Linked DNA regions of Drosophila melanogaster. The protein of the gene in region 2 interacts with the protein of the main gene of each other region in a pairwise test. Each region holds a gene or a part of one and is shown on either strand. Other genes may lie near its edges.

The links. The genes of interacting proteins can lie anywhere in the genome.
Region 1: the proteins of CG15576 (region 2) and IFT43 interact in a two-hybrid assay, tested with the Drosophila melanogaster proteins (one large-scale study listed by BioGRID).
Region 3: the proteins of CG15576 (region 2) and Mlc2 interact in a two-hybrid assay, tested with the Drosophila melanogaster proteins (one large-scale study listed by BioGRID).

What each region holds. Positions count from the first base shown.
Region 1 is NT_033779.5:12,693,372-12,696,912, forward strand, and holds IFT43 (intraflagellar transport 43), read right to left. Parts: upstream 1,618-3,541; 5' UTR 1,542-1,617; coding exon 1,503-1,541; intron 1,445-1,502; coding exon 1,203-1,444; intron 1,147-1,202; coding exon 1,123-1,146; intron 1,056-1,122; coding exon 933-1,055; intron 878-932; coding exon 616-877; 3' UTR 501-615; downstream 1-500. Other genes in the region: CG6153 (uncharacterized protein), read left to right, coding at 1-31, 95-285, 349-473; PICK1 (protein interacting with C kinase 1), read left to right, coding at 1,745-1,791, 1,934-2,152, 2,896-3,007; CG5781 (uncharacterized protein), read right to left, coding at 3,100-3,541.
Region 2 is NC_004354.4:4,251,242-4,254,425, forward strand, and holds CG15576 (uncharacterized protein), read right to left. Parts: upstream 1,550-3,184; 5' UTR 1,398-1,549; coding exon 1,026-1,397; 3' UTR 629-1,025; downstream 1-628.
Region 3 is NT_033777.3:30,170,938-30,176,380, forward strand, and holds Mlc2 (myosin light chain 2), read right to left. Parts: upstream 3,615-5,443; 5' UTR 3,550-3,614; coding exon 3,547-3,549; intron 2,878-3,546; coding exon 2,635-2,877; intron 2,476-2,634; coding exon 2,053-2,475; 3' UTR 501-2,052; downstream 1-500. Other genes in the region: Rsod (uncharacterized protein), read right to left, coding at 61-130.

The DNA of each region.
Region 1 (3,541 bases), on a different chromosome or scaffold from region 2:
ATGATGACTCCCATCCAAACATGGTCAAAATGTAAGGAACAAAAGTCAAGGCTGCTTTAATATTACTATATTCATCATATATCTTATTTTTCAGCTTCAAGAACCGACCCAGGATGACCTTTGATGATGCCAGAGCAAAGCCCGACCAGGAGTTCCAGCTGACCCGCGATGCCCGCGGAGAAATCGAGTACTCACCCAAAGTGGTCACCTTCTCCTCCGTGCACCATCTCTCCCTCTACTTTCCCAGCAATTTTGGCGAAGACATAACACGCATTTACTATATAGGTAAGCTCACAACAATCTATGTTTTATCTGTGTTCCCAACTAAAACCAAGTCACTATTCAAAGGTCTTCGAGGAGAGTTCACAGAAGCTCATTACCATGGCGTAACCATATGCAACTACGAATCCCGTGCCAATGCAGCGGATCACAAGGAAAAGGCTTTCGATGGAGTCGGCAGAGCCATCCAATAGGGTTATAGAGATTAAAATTTACAATTTAATTGAGTATCTCTGTAGTGTATATATTTTGTGATCATTTAAGGCAAGAAATGTTTTTGTATTCGCTTAACTTATTGAGCATTTGTATTGCACAGATATTGTGGGCTAAATCATACTAAGTATATTGTGTGGGTGGAATCACATCGGGTCCTATTTTCATGCCCATATTGGGCACTTTATCCGAATGGATTTCAGCCGTGACCTCGGTGAACAGCTTGTCCCACTGCCAGAGATCGTCCTTCTCGTTGAGGCTCTCCTGTGGAACCAGGCAATCGGTGAGGATTGAGAGATCAAAGCCATCCACAGCTGAAAAGGCGTACTGGGAAAGCAAATCGGAATTGGCCTCCTTCAAAACAGCAGATCGTGAGGTGCCAATACTACAAATTACAACTTATTATCGTAGTGAAGAGAAATATAGCAGCTTCTGCTTACGTTGGCGGTTCTACAATCTCATTGAGCATGATTTCGTCCTTGACATCATCCATGTCTGGGATGACGGGAATGTCATCCGTTGGTATGGAATTTGTAGCCGACTTTGTTTGTTTAAAGCGCTCACTAAAATGAATTTTATCATTATAACAGTCGGTGGAAAGTGAAGTTATTGTGATAAACTTGTACTCACTCATCAAAGGAGTTTTTCTTGGACCTAAAAAGATATAGAGCAATCAGTAATGTGCCTAATTCGAGCCTAATCATACCCACTTTAATCCTTTGAGTCCAGAATCCGCCCAGCCACCTGAAATGCGACGAATGGGTGGTCGATGTGACTCGAATTCATTGTTGTATGTGGACGAGGTGGCCGTGTCCGAGGTGGTCGGTGGGGTGCCCGCCTGGACATTCAGCGTAATGTCGATGGAAATGTCCTTGGAGCCCCCAGCCGCCTGGACATCCTCCTCCTTCAGAACATCGCGACTCTTGGAGCGCCGACCCTTCCTGGCCGTCGTCTAGGGTGGCAAATAAATCGAAACTTCAATTTGCATCCATTTAAACAGGGTTACTTACCTTTCTTATGGTCATCTTGAGTTCTTCGGCCCAGTCCATCATCTTTTGTTTACGTTTATCCTCAGCGTTTCCAAGGCAACAAGTGGTCATGGTTACTCCGTGGGAATGTTCAAGTTTACTAATGGAGTTTGCCATTCGCAACGCGATGCGATAGTTTTCAAATCAGTTACCTATCGCCGATGACAGTTGGCGGAGCTTCAAGTGGCCAAAATAAACAAATATTTATTTTCTAATAACGCAAAATGCTGACGGACACGGAAGATGACTTCTTTTTCGAAGAGGATAAGATGTAAGTGGCCATTGAAAGCAATAAATTGCTGCAACACCTACGCCCAGCTCTATTTACGCACAACAATCTGTTGCGATGTGCCGAAAAGTGTCTGTTAAAAATCAATAATTGCCACCAAACTGAAACATATTGTTGGAATCAGGCCAGAACCGCTGCTCATCCAGTTGGATGGGGATGGTGCTCAGGCTGTCCGGCAGCCCAAGGAACGCACGGAGCAGCGAGAGCATGCCTCCGGTTCCGTCGCTCCCAACGAGGCCACCGTTATGCTCTGCTCCCCGGCGGGATTCTCCTGCGATTCCGCATCCGGGGACAGGTTCGGCATCGAGTCCGCCAGTAGGCAGAAGTATGAGTTAGACCGTCTGTAAGTCAACTCCGTTGACCCGGAATCGTTCCCATACTATTTCCTGTGGCAGCTCTGTTTTCTAAGTTCTGGTTTTTATAGTCTTTATCCTGTAGTTTCTACCAAATTAGCTTACTCTTGGTTTTTTATTGATTTTATTCTTTTAAATTCATAAATTGGTGTATTTATATTAATAGTAGCATATACACTTCTTTATTTAACTATTAAAAATTTAATTTTGATTCAGTTGCTGTTTTTTTTTTAATTATTTACTTTTTAAAGAGCGAACACAGTACTATATCCATTTTTTGTATAGTAAGAACTACAGAACTAGAACTAACAAGATTGTTGTTTATTTAGTTTATTAATTCCACCGAAAAAGGACAAATGTGAATTTCCTTTGTAGAGCCTTAGATGCTTATACTTAGGCTAGCTAGTATACAAACTATATTGAATTCGAGGTGTCCTTTGGCTTTCCAAGTCCCATCCTTCGAAAGCGTTAGTATCACGATGCCTTAGAATAAGCTGTCCCGATCAACAGTTTTCCCCATACAGCCCTAGCCAAACTTGATAATAATCCAATGGCCTTGCTAGAACTGGTAACATGGCTAATTAGAAAATCGCACCAATCGAAGTGAGTACGTATGGAAAACTGATATGGAATCACCAGCACATAACCATATATACTTCAAATCATGTAGCACGCGTAGATCACGCTTCAAACTATATTTCAATATCTTAACTTCTTACCAACCTTTATGCAGGGGCATGACTGTCAGCACGAATGCTGTCGTCATTACAAAGGATCAGAGCAACCTGATTGGCATCAGCATTGGGGGTGGAGCACCCATGTGTCCATGTCTGTATATCGTGCAGGTAAGTCTGAAAATCATGAACTCATAAACTCTCACAAAGATCTTTTTGCTGCCATATTCAGCTTGTTTCAAATTTAATTTACAATCTCATTTCTAGGCTGCCTGAGAATCTTTTCTAGCGGTGACCCTTGTTTGCTTCCAGGGATTCGGCGTAGCCTTGAAATTTGTCATTTTGCGTAGCTTAAAGTACTCGCTTCTTTCCCGTGCAAACCAATCGATGGTCTGCTGCTCCAAACGCCGATCCATCCGTATCCTTTTCCTCTCGTCATACACTTGGCGGCGCAGAGCACGCTCCGACGTATGGAGATGAAAAGGTTTTGGATGGGTAAAGGAGGACTTGACAAGCGGCGTAAAGGGCTGCCGGTTGAGGTAGTCCATAGAAGAGCCTGGATTGATTCGGGGCACAAAGTCGGATGTCTTTCGGCTCTGCCTTTGCTTCTTTAGGCGCTTGTTTAAAGCGACCATTGACGTGGCCAGCGTGGCAGGGCATCGGGGCTTCGTCACCGTTTGCAGAGAGTTCAGGTACAGCTTGCGC
Region 2 (3,184 bases):
ACCAGAATAAATAGAATAAAGGACGGCATCTATCTACCCGAATTGATACTCTCGAGTCCCTGCCAGTTGGTCTCAGTGATTGGGAAGTCCTAAAGCTGCTAGAAGGCTATAATGAAAGTCAAACACCCACTAAAGTTCCTATGGCTGCGCTCGAAATTTTCTTTGATTATGCAAATGTCACAGCTGAGAGGGCAAAATCTGTTTCAATTGGCATCCTGATTTGTCTACAATCTATGTATGTACGAATTTCAGAATAAATGCATTAAAATAGAAGCTTTCATTGAGAAGTTCATTTTAGGATGAAGTAAGTAAAATGAAGTGCTTATATTGGGGTCAAATTCATCTAGAATTGAAATGGCATGCTAGTCATTTCGGGGAATAGTTAACTAGTGCAGTTCAATCAACTTTCCGTGCGCTTTTCCCGTATGTTTGTCACGCCCCCATTAACCCCATGGAAAAAGTGACATGACAGACAGGAATCAGACTTGAGCTGGGGCTCAATCCATCACATCAGTGCGGAAGAGACCAGTCATCATCATCATCGTTGTCGTCAGTGCGCTTGTTCCCCTCTTGGCCACCATCGTTGCCCACTGACCACCATTGTCATCCCCGTATCCGAATATAATATAGAGTAGCGGAATTGTATCTTTATTACGATAATTGCTCATTGAACAGGAAATTATTATATGCGTCCGGGGCTCGGCATGTCCTCCAATTCCAAAGCCCATCAATTTTCTTGGGGAGATGGAAAAATCATCAACCCAGAACTCAACGGGGATATAATAATAGAACAACATGCGTCCGAACAGGGTCCGTTCTTCTCCAAGGGTTACTGGTTCAGGTGGCAATGAGAATGGAAGTGGTAGTGGATTGTGTTTGGGGTTTCGGGCCTTTTAGCTGATGATGACATTTTTCTTCTTTTTTGCGGACGACGCTCAGAAATGAAAAAAAGGACATCACACACGCACAGGAAGGGGAGAGGCAAAAGACAGTGATGGCAAGTGTGGTAAGAGAAGGTACAGATCCTAGGGGTTTGGTGGCAGTCCCCGCAATGGTGGATGATAGTCACCAGCGTAATTACCATAGCCACCGCCATCACAATCGCCCTCGCCAATCAAACCGCTTGGCATCGGAGGCTCCCTCCAGTTCCACACGCCGATACTATCGCCGCCTCCCATATTTAATTCCGTCCTCCGTCGATGTAGCATTACACGCATATTGATCATGAAACGATTCACATCCCGCTGATGATCGATGCGCAATTGAATCGGTGGAATTTGGGTGATTCGACGTTCATCAGTCGATGGCTGTATATTGCGCTCTTCTTCGCCCGGCACGCGATCCATATTCAAGCGAATGCGAAAACTCTGACCTGGATTTGGCCTAAATGGATTCATTTTGAATATTTTAAAGCTGTTCTTACTGAAATTTCGATCGAAACGTTCTGCTGCTGTTGGGGATTTCGAATAACTAATATTTTTCTGACACGGTAGCACACAATACCGATTGATAGAAATCTCAATGAGACCTGAGCATCTGAAATATGTGACAAGACAAATAAAGCTGAATTGTGGAATGGTATTATGTGAAATATTGTACAAGAGATAAGAGATAACCAAAAAATTTGGATAACTAATTCCGACATAATCCGACTGGGGGACTTCCGGTGAAATATCTATGCGATCTATGTGGCCCACAAGTACACATACTTGTGTACGCTCGATGCATATTTAATTAAACTTTCACCTACTCAAAGACGACAAAGAATCTTTGGCGAGGGCGACAGGAGACAAGTCCAGAACACTTTGGTCTCTCGCTTCAATCATTTTCATGGGGTGGATTGGATGCGCTAGTGGATGTCCTAGCTCGAGGACCTGTTACTCTCATCCTGGTTCCTGAAGTACTTAAAAGCAACACGACAAGCTTTAATTAAATCAGTTTTAATTAATGCAAAATGCGAAATTTCAAAAGACGTCGTTGAGCAAGCGCTTGGCTCAAATTGCCGACAACATGGAAAACAGAACACAGAGGCGGTGAGCTCCAAAGGACCCCAAAAAGGATCCGCATCCCCTCGAACGCAACGTTTTGTTGTCGCATAATTACAACTCAATTGTAATCCAATTTTGGCCAGGCATATAAATCCGATTCAGGCACAAAGTCACGCCCCCGGCCTGGTGTCTGTGTCAACTTTTTCGGTGTCAAATAAATAAACTTTTGACAGTCGGCAGACAGGCCAGCGGGGTTTTCCGAGCTCCAACTCCGCCCGAAAAAGCCCATCCGCACACCTTTCGCTTTTTGTGGCCACCACCGGAAATGGAAATTTGTTAACAATGGTGGGTGGATTGGGTTTGGTGGCATGTATCTGGGATGCCAAAATCAATGCCCCAACAGATGGATTAGATACAGACATCTGACCACGAGCTCATCCGTTCAACCCCGTCGAAGGCAGAACTCTTGATAACTGCAAATTAGTTGCACATGTTCCACATGGGCCACAACTCAAAACAAGACGTGTTTGCACTAATTTGGCCAAAATCAACAGCTGTGTGTACATGTGCTGCCATCTTCTGCTCGCTGTGTGAGTGAAGAAAACTCATCATAACTTTCTTATCAGAAACTTACTTCTTGCTCTTCAGATACCCAACAGAAGCGTTCCCAAAAAAATAAAATAAAATAAAAGAACGGGGGAACTAGCGAGATTCTGGGGCGAAAAACGAGAAGGAAAACAGAAAAATTGCCTAGAAAACTTGTTATAATTACACACTGGCACACACACACTGGCACACGTGCTGGATGGCCGTATGTGTATGAAAGTCGTGCACTTAAAGAAATAAAAGCGACTTCGTTATTAATGAAAATTGTCTATGTTTAAATATCATAAGATTTCATCAATGATTTAACTATGTTTGAATCGATTTTTTTGCGATTTTACAACCTCTATTTCATACCATTATTTTAACATGGTTCTGTCATCTATTTTCTCCATTTGTATGACTAACTTAGTGACTGCAGGGCAAGGAATTTGGAAGGGGAGACGTGGAGAGAGGGGGAGTACGAGGGCATGCATGAACAGGCAACATATGTTGGACTTTGGAGCAAACTTTTGCGAGTTTTCGGGGCGCCCTTCCACTATGCCCCTTGTGGCAGCTCCATATATTGGCACCTCCTCATCTCCTCATCGCAG
Region 3 (5,443 bases), on a different chromosome or scaffold from region 2:
CTTTCGATTTCTTTGGCCACGCAATATCTGCATACAATGCAATCGATTCCCAGCACTCACCTCCACTCATTAGTGATGCAATCCAGCAGATGGAAGCCATCCACAAAAGCTGTCGTCCACCTGGAGCCATGGTTCTGGTTCTACTTACGCCCTGAGTAACCAGATTATTCGAAAAGCGCTGTTCGGAATGGATGTGGCAATGACAAGCGTGGCTGACTTTCACATCGTAGTGCGCATGCGTGCGCCTCGAAACTCGACTGACAACTGGTCGCTCGAAGGTTCGTGTTCGGTTTTGGCCATCGTCTTGGCCAAGTGTGGGGAGTTTCCCACTGCGCTCCACAGCTTCGTTCAGCTCCCCAGCTTTATCGGTGGTTTTGTTTTGACCTGGAACTGGTTTCCGGCACGGCTCAGCTGAGTCAGATATGCAGTAAGGTACTACATACCCCCAAAAAACCCCTTCCCTGAGCAAATCAAACTTCAATGGCTTTGTGTTTTTTTTTCAAGACGACTCTCTTTTGCTTTATTCCAAGACTTCGTCATCGTATCATCATCTAGTTATGTTGTATAAAAACAGTTACTTGTTTTCTATTTTTAGATGTTTTTTGTTTTACTCTTGTTAATATTCCTGACCGGGTTAAAAGTTTTCTGAATTTTTTCATCTTGCCGTGTGTAGCTTAAAATATACTGAAGTAAAGATTCGATTTGCATTTAACAACTTGTTGCATGTTGCACTTTGAAATGGATTGCAGTGTGCGTGTGAGTGTGGTGTGTGCTCGTGTCGAGTGTCAAGTGTTGAGTTCTGAGTAATAGTAGTATTAGATAAATAAGGCAATATATTGTGCTTCCTCCGATCAGCCTAGGTACTAGTGGTTATGGGCACCTTATTCAAACTAAAACCCCCCCGACCGTCTATTTCCCGGGGAGGCGTATCATCCTGGAAGCTTCAAAACGCATTAACTAGAAACACTGGGTTTGTTATTTGAATGTTTCTTCATATTTCAGATATCATTTTGGGTTGTTTGTTCGTTTGGGTGGTTTATATCGCTGATAGTTCATAAGCAGAAAGTTGTGGTGGTGGCGATGGTTAAGTTATATAAATTCGCATTAAACAATTTGAGTGAATGAACTTAATGTTTCTCTGTTATTAGCCTAACTCTCGATAACTTGCAATAATATTGATAACTCATAACTGATAAATAAGTAAGTAACGAACGATAGATATGTATAACGATAAATATTTTGTGATAGTAGGATATATATTTGGCTCTCAGTTAAATGATCCCTAACAATAGTTTGTTATGGGTTTACCTCTCTCTCTCCTGGTCCTGCGAGATTTCTTGAACGAAAAACATTGTAACTCACAAAACTGGCTAAAATTCATATTCATAATCAAATTGAACTCGCGGGTGCAGGGCTAACGAATACAGCCCGGCTACCCATCAACATCGTCTTCGTCCTCCCTACATCATAAATCATACATCATACATCCTCATTTCGATTCCGATCTCGATCTCGATCTGGTAATCATCTCTCTCTGGGGGTTCTTCTCTTTAGTTCTTCAACGGACAGCGATATAAAAATAGACACGGCTTGTTTGTTGTTTTTAAGTTTTTTTTGTTGATTTTATAGGTGTTTTAAATAAAATAGATAGCATATGTTTTATAAATTTTACGTGTAAAATTTAACAGTAAATCAACTAGAAAACTACGCGTCAGTTCTTGCCGTGACAGTGAACGTGATCGTAAGTATCCCTAACTATGATGGACAGATACATGGTAAATGGTTCTGATCGCTACCAAATGTTGCTGAAGAAGTTCTTTTGAGGTTCAGTTTGATCGGATGTTGCTGATCTGGTTGGTGGTGTTGTTCTTGGTACAAGGTACTTGGTGATGGTTAACAAAAGAGATTACAAGATACTGAGAATCTACATATGTAAACGAGCGTTTCTTTTAATTACGTTTATTATTACTGATTTGACTGATTGATTTAACGTTCTGATTCTGGCTGTAAAATGGATGTTGAGTTAGAAGTTAGGATGTGATCGGATGTGCCTTAGGCGGCCTCCTCCTCCTCCTCTTCACCCTTGCCGGTGAGCATCTCGATCAGGGCGGCGGTATCGATCTGGTTCTTGTCGTCGATCACCATCTGATCGTAGGCATCATCAACCTCCTTCATGGTGAACTTGTCACCGAAGTTCATGAGCATTTCGCGGAATTTGTCACCGTCGATGAGACCATCGTTATCGAATGTTTTGAAGGCAGCAATAACAACTTCGTCTTCATCGTTGGCACCGGAGGTGGCCATGCGGTTGGCGAACAGGGTCAGCAACTGGGTGAAGTTGATCGGACCCGAGGCCTCGCCCAGCATGGCGTCCAACTCCTTGTCGTTGGCGATCTTGCCGACGGAGTCGAAGGCAGCGCGCAGATCGTTCTTGCCAATAATACCGTCCTTGTCGGCATCCATGAGTTGGAAGGCCTATCGATCCCGCACAGAGACAGAGAGAGATAGAAAGAAAGAGTGTGTTGGTGACTTGGTCCTTGACAAGTGCGATAGATGGTAGGATGACAGGATGATGGGATGGGTCTCGAGTGATCCGACATATGATGCGATATATGAGTAACGCCCAAAACTCACCTCCTTGAACTCGGCGATCTGCTTCTGGGAGAACACAGAGAAGACCGAGGAGCCAGCGCGCTTCGACTTCCTGGAGCCACGGGATCCGCCCGACGCTCTCTTCGAACCAGTGGCAGATGCGGCCGGGGCAGGAGTGGCAGCTGGTGCCGGGGTTGCTGCCTCGGATGCGGCCTCAGAAGCGGTTTCGGAAGTACCACCCTCTTCCTTGGTCTTCTTCTTCTTAACCTTCTTCTTCTCATCGGCCTGAGGAGAGAAAAGAGGGATTTATTAGTAGGGACTCGTGGCAGAAAGGGGGTATCTACTCGGTCATTAGTCGTTATAGTCCGTCTTTAGCTGTCACTTGAAAGTTCCGATTCCGGAAGTTATACTATTCGTTTTAGGGATCTTAGTAAGTTATCCGCGTTGAAGGATCTTCAATTGGAATTATATGGGTAGAAAGTTATCCCTTAATAGGGATTTAAGGGATGTAAGGTATGCTTTTCAAAAGGCCTACCCGACTAGGCCAGAAAATATGTATCTGCAGGCGAAAGTTTTCCACTCATTCTAAAAATATACCGGACGCATATTACGTAAGCTCTCCGCCGTGCGCCACTCGCTGTCTCGCTCGCTCCCCGGCACGGATATCAGATTACATTACTGACGCGTAACACTCGGATCGGATCGATCCATTTATAGAACTTTCTGCACTATTCTCACTGCGTATGTGAAGAAGGTGAATCGGGATCACCATGATTTAGAGTTATGGTTCACTTCATATTCATATCCTCGGGGTCATTCTCGAATGCAAACGATTCACTGCACTGATCGGCATTATCCTTGCTGCATATATCCAGGCACTGGGGTCCAGTTCGATTCGGTTCGGTTCAGTTCGGTTCAGTTGGATTGTAGTGATATTCCGGGACGAGTCCTTACCATGGTGCTGAACTTTGATGTGTTGTCTAATCGAGTCGAGCCGTCAGAGCACACTGAATCTCTGGCTGATTTTATCGCCAAGACAATGATGTTTTAAGAGCTCGGAGGAGCTCTTCTTCTTCCAAGCATTGGGGCCGCTCGTGGAGGTTCGGCCACCTTCGGGGATCTTCGGGCGCCATTCGCTGTATCCGTATCTGCAATATTCGTGCTGCCTTTTTTAGTATCTGCAAGGCGAGGTCCGCCCAGGAGATCGGCGGGGGCGGGCAGCTACAACTATATAGATATAGCCATGGCTATAGCCTATAGCCTATGGTGTAGCTGTATCCGAGGTGTTTACTCATCCATCGGGCGCTGCTCTAATCAAAAATCTAATTTTAAAGGCAGAGAAATTGCTTTGGCTTTGGCTTTTGGGCAGCAGAAGCCTATACATATGTTCGGAATTTATTTCGGGGCGATTCGGATTGGTTCATATAGCGGCTCTCTGTTGTGGATACATTTCCCCATCCTCGGATTCTGTTTTGTTTTCTTTTATTTTGCTCTGCTTCACTACTCGGTGCGTCTCTCTGCCAGAGGCCACCTCCGAAAGGTGTCCTCTTGCGCTGAAATCACCTACATTTTCCTTGGCGGCGGACAGCATACATATATGCCAACATATAGCATATGTATGTATTCTATTCACGCCTATATACTCGATGTTTTGCTCGCCTACGTTCCTTTTTCTGTTTTCGAAATGCCCCGCACATTGTGCAATATGAAGAGCGCCGAGAATTCCAAATCTATAGATCTGTATATACATACACGGCGATCGGGCGGATTTCGTGTCGCATAAATATCCAACGAACCCGATATTGGACCAGAGTTATTTCGGCAACAAATGTGGAATAAACATCTGACTTTATCTATATGCTAGTCATCCATGGACATTGCATAACAATGGGAAGGCTGTAGGATTTCCATTTCAGATAAACTTTGGGTACCACGTCATGATACATTAACCTTGTTACTAAAAATATTAAACACTGCAGTATTCAAGCTATTTAAGCCATTTCAGTAAATAAATAGTAAAATTGTGACAACTTCAATCGACAAATTGGATTCTCAAAGCCTTATTTACACATTTTTAGTTTTCCAAATAAGCAGGAAATTTCAATTTAGTTTCAAGTGTTACAAAATATTATTATTCATATAGTTTACATCTATTTTTTTTAGAAATATTCATTCTGCAAATTATTCGACTTTTTGCTTTCTGAAGGAAATAAGCCAAAACATTTTTCAAAACAATATTTACATGAGGTCATCTTTGCCACCTGAATTCATTACCCTCGCTGGCTAATATTATAATTAATGAAGGCTCTATGCAAATTTATGAAACGGAAAATATCTCAATTAACGATGGGATCCGTGCGAGAAAGCCTTCATAATTCATCGATCAGACATAATGAAAATCGATTTAGGCTGCAGTCATCTTCGTGCTCCATTGAAAGTGATTTTCGGCGAAAACTCTCATGGCGCAGCCATTTTGGCACGTAACCAGGCGACATTTTGGCCTGGGGCCAACCAAAACAAGAAGATATAGAGGAAAACTGCCCACAATCTAATACGCAAAGTAGCATTGAATATACGCGAATGTAAAAATAGAACAAAGTGCAAAAAACGAGCAAGACGCAGTCGAAGGAATGTTAAAACTAATGAAAACTGCGGCAAATGTATTCAATTTTCCAAGGTGCAGAATGTTTCTGGGAATATTAATGGTTTTGACACTTTGGAAGCATTGTTTATAAAGGGTTAACAATTAAATAAGGCAAATAACAGCCTACACATAACATTTGTTTATCTCAAGGGTTTCTAAATTTAAACGCCAAATCATCTTTGATTTGCTGATTTACTACGTTAGTCT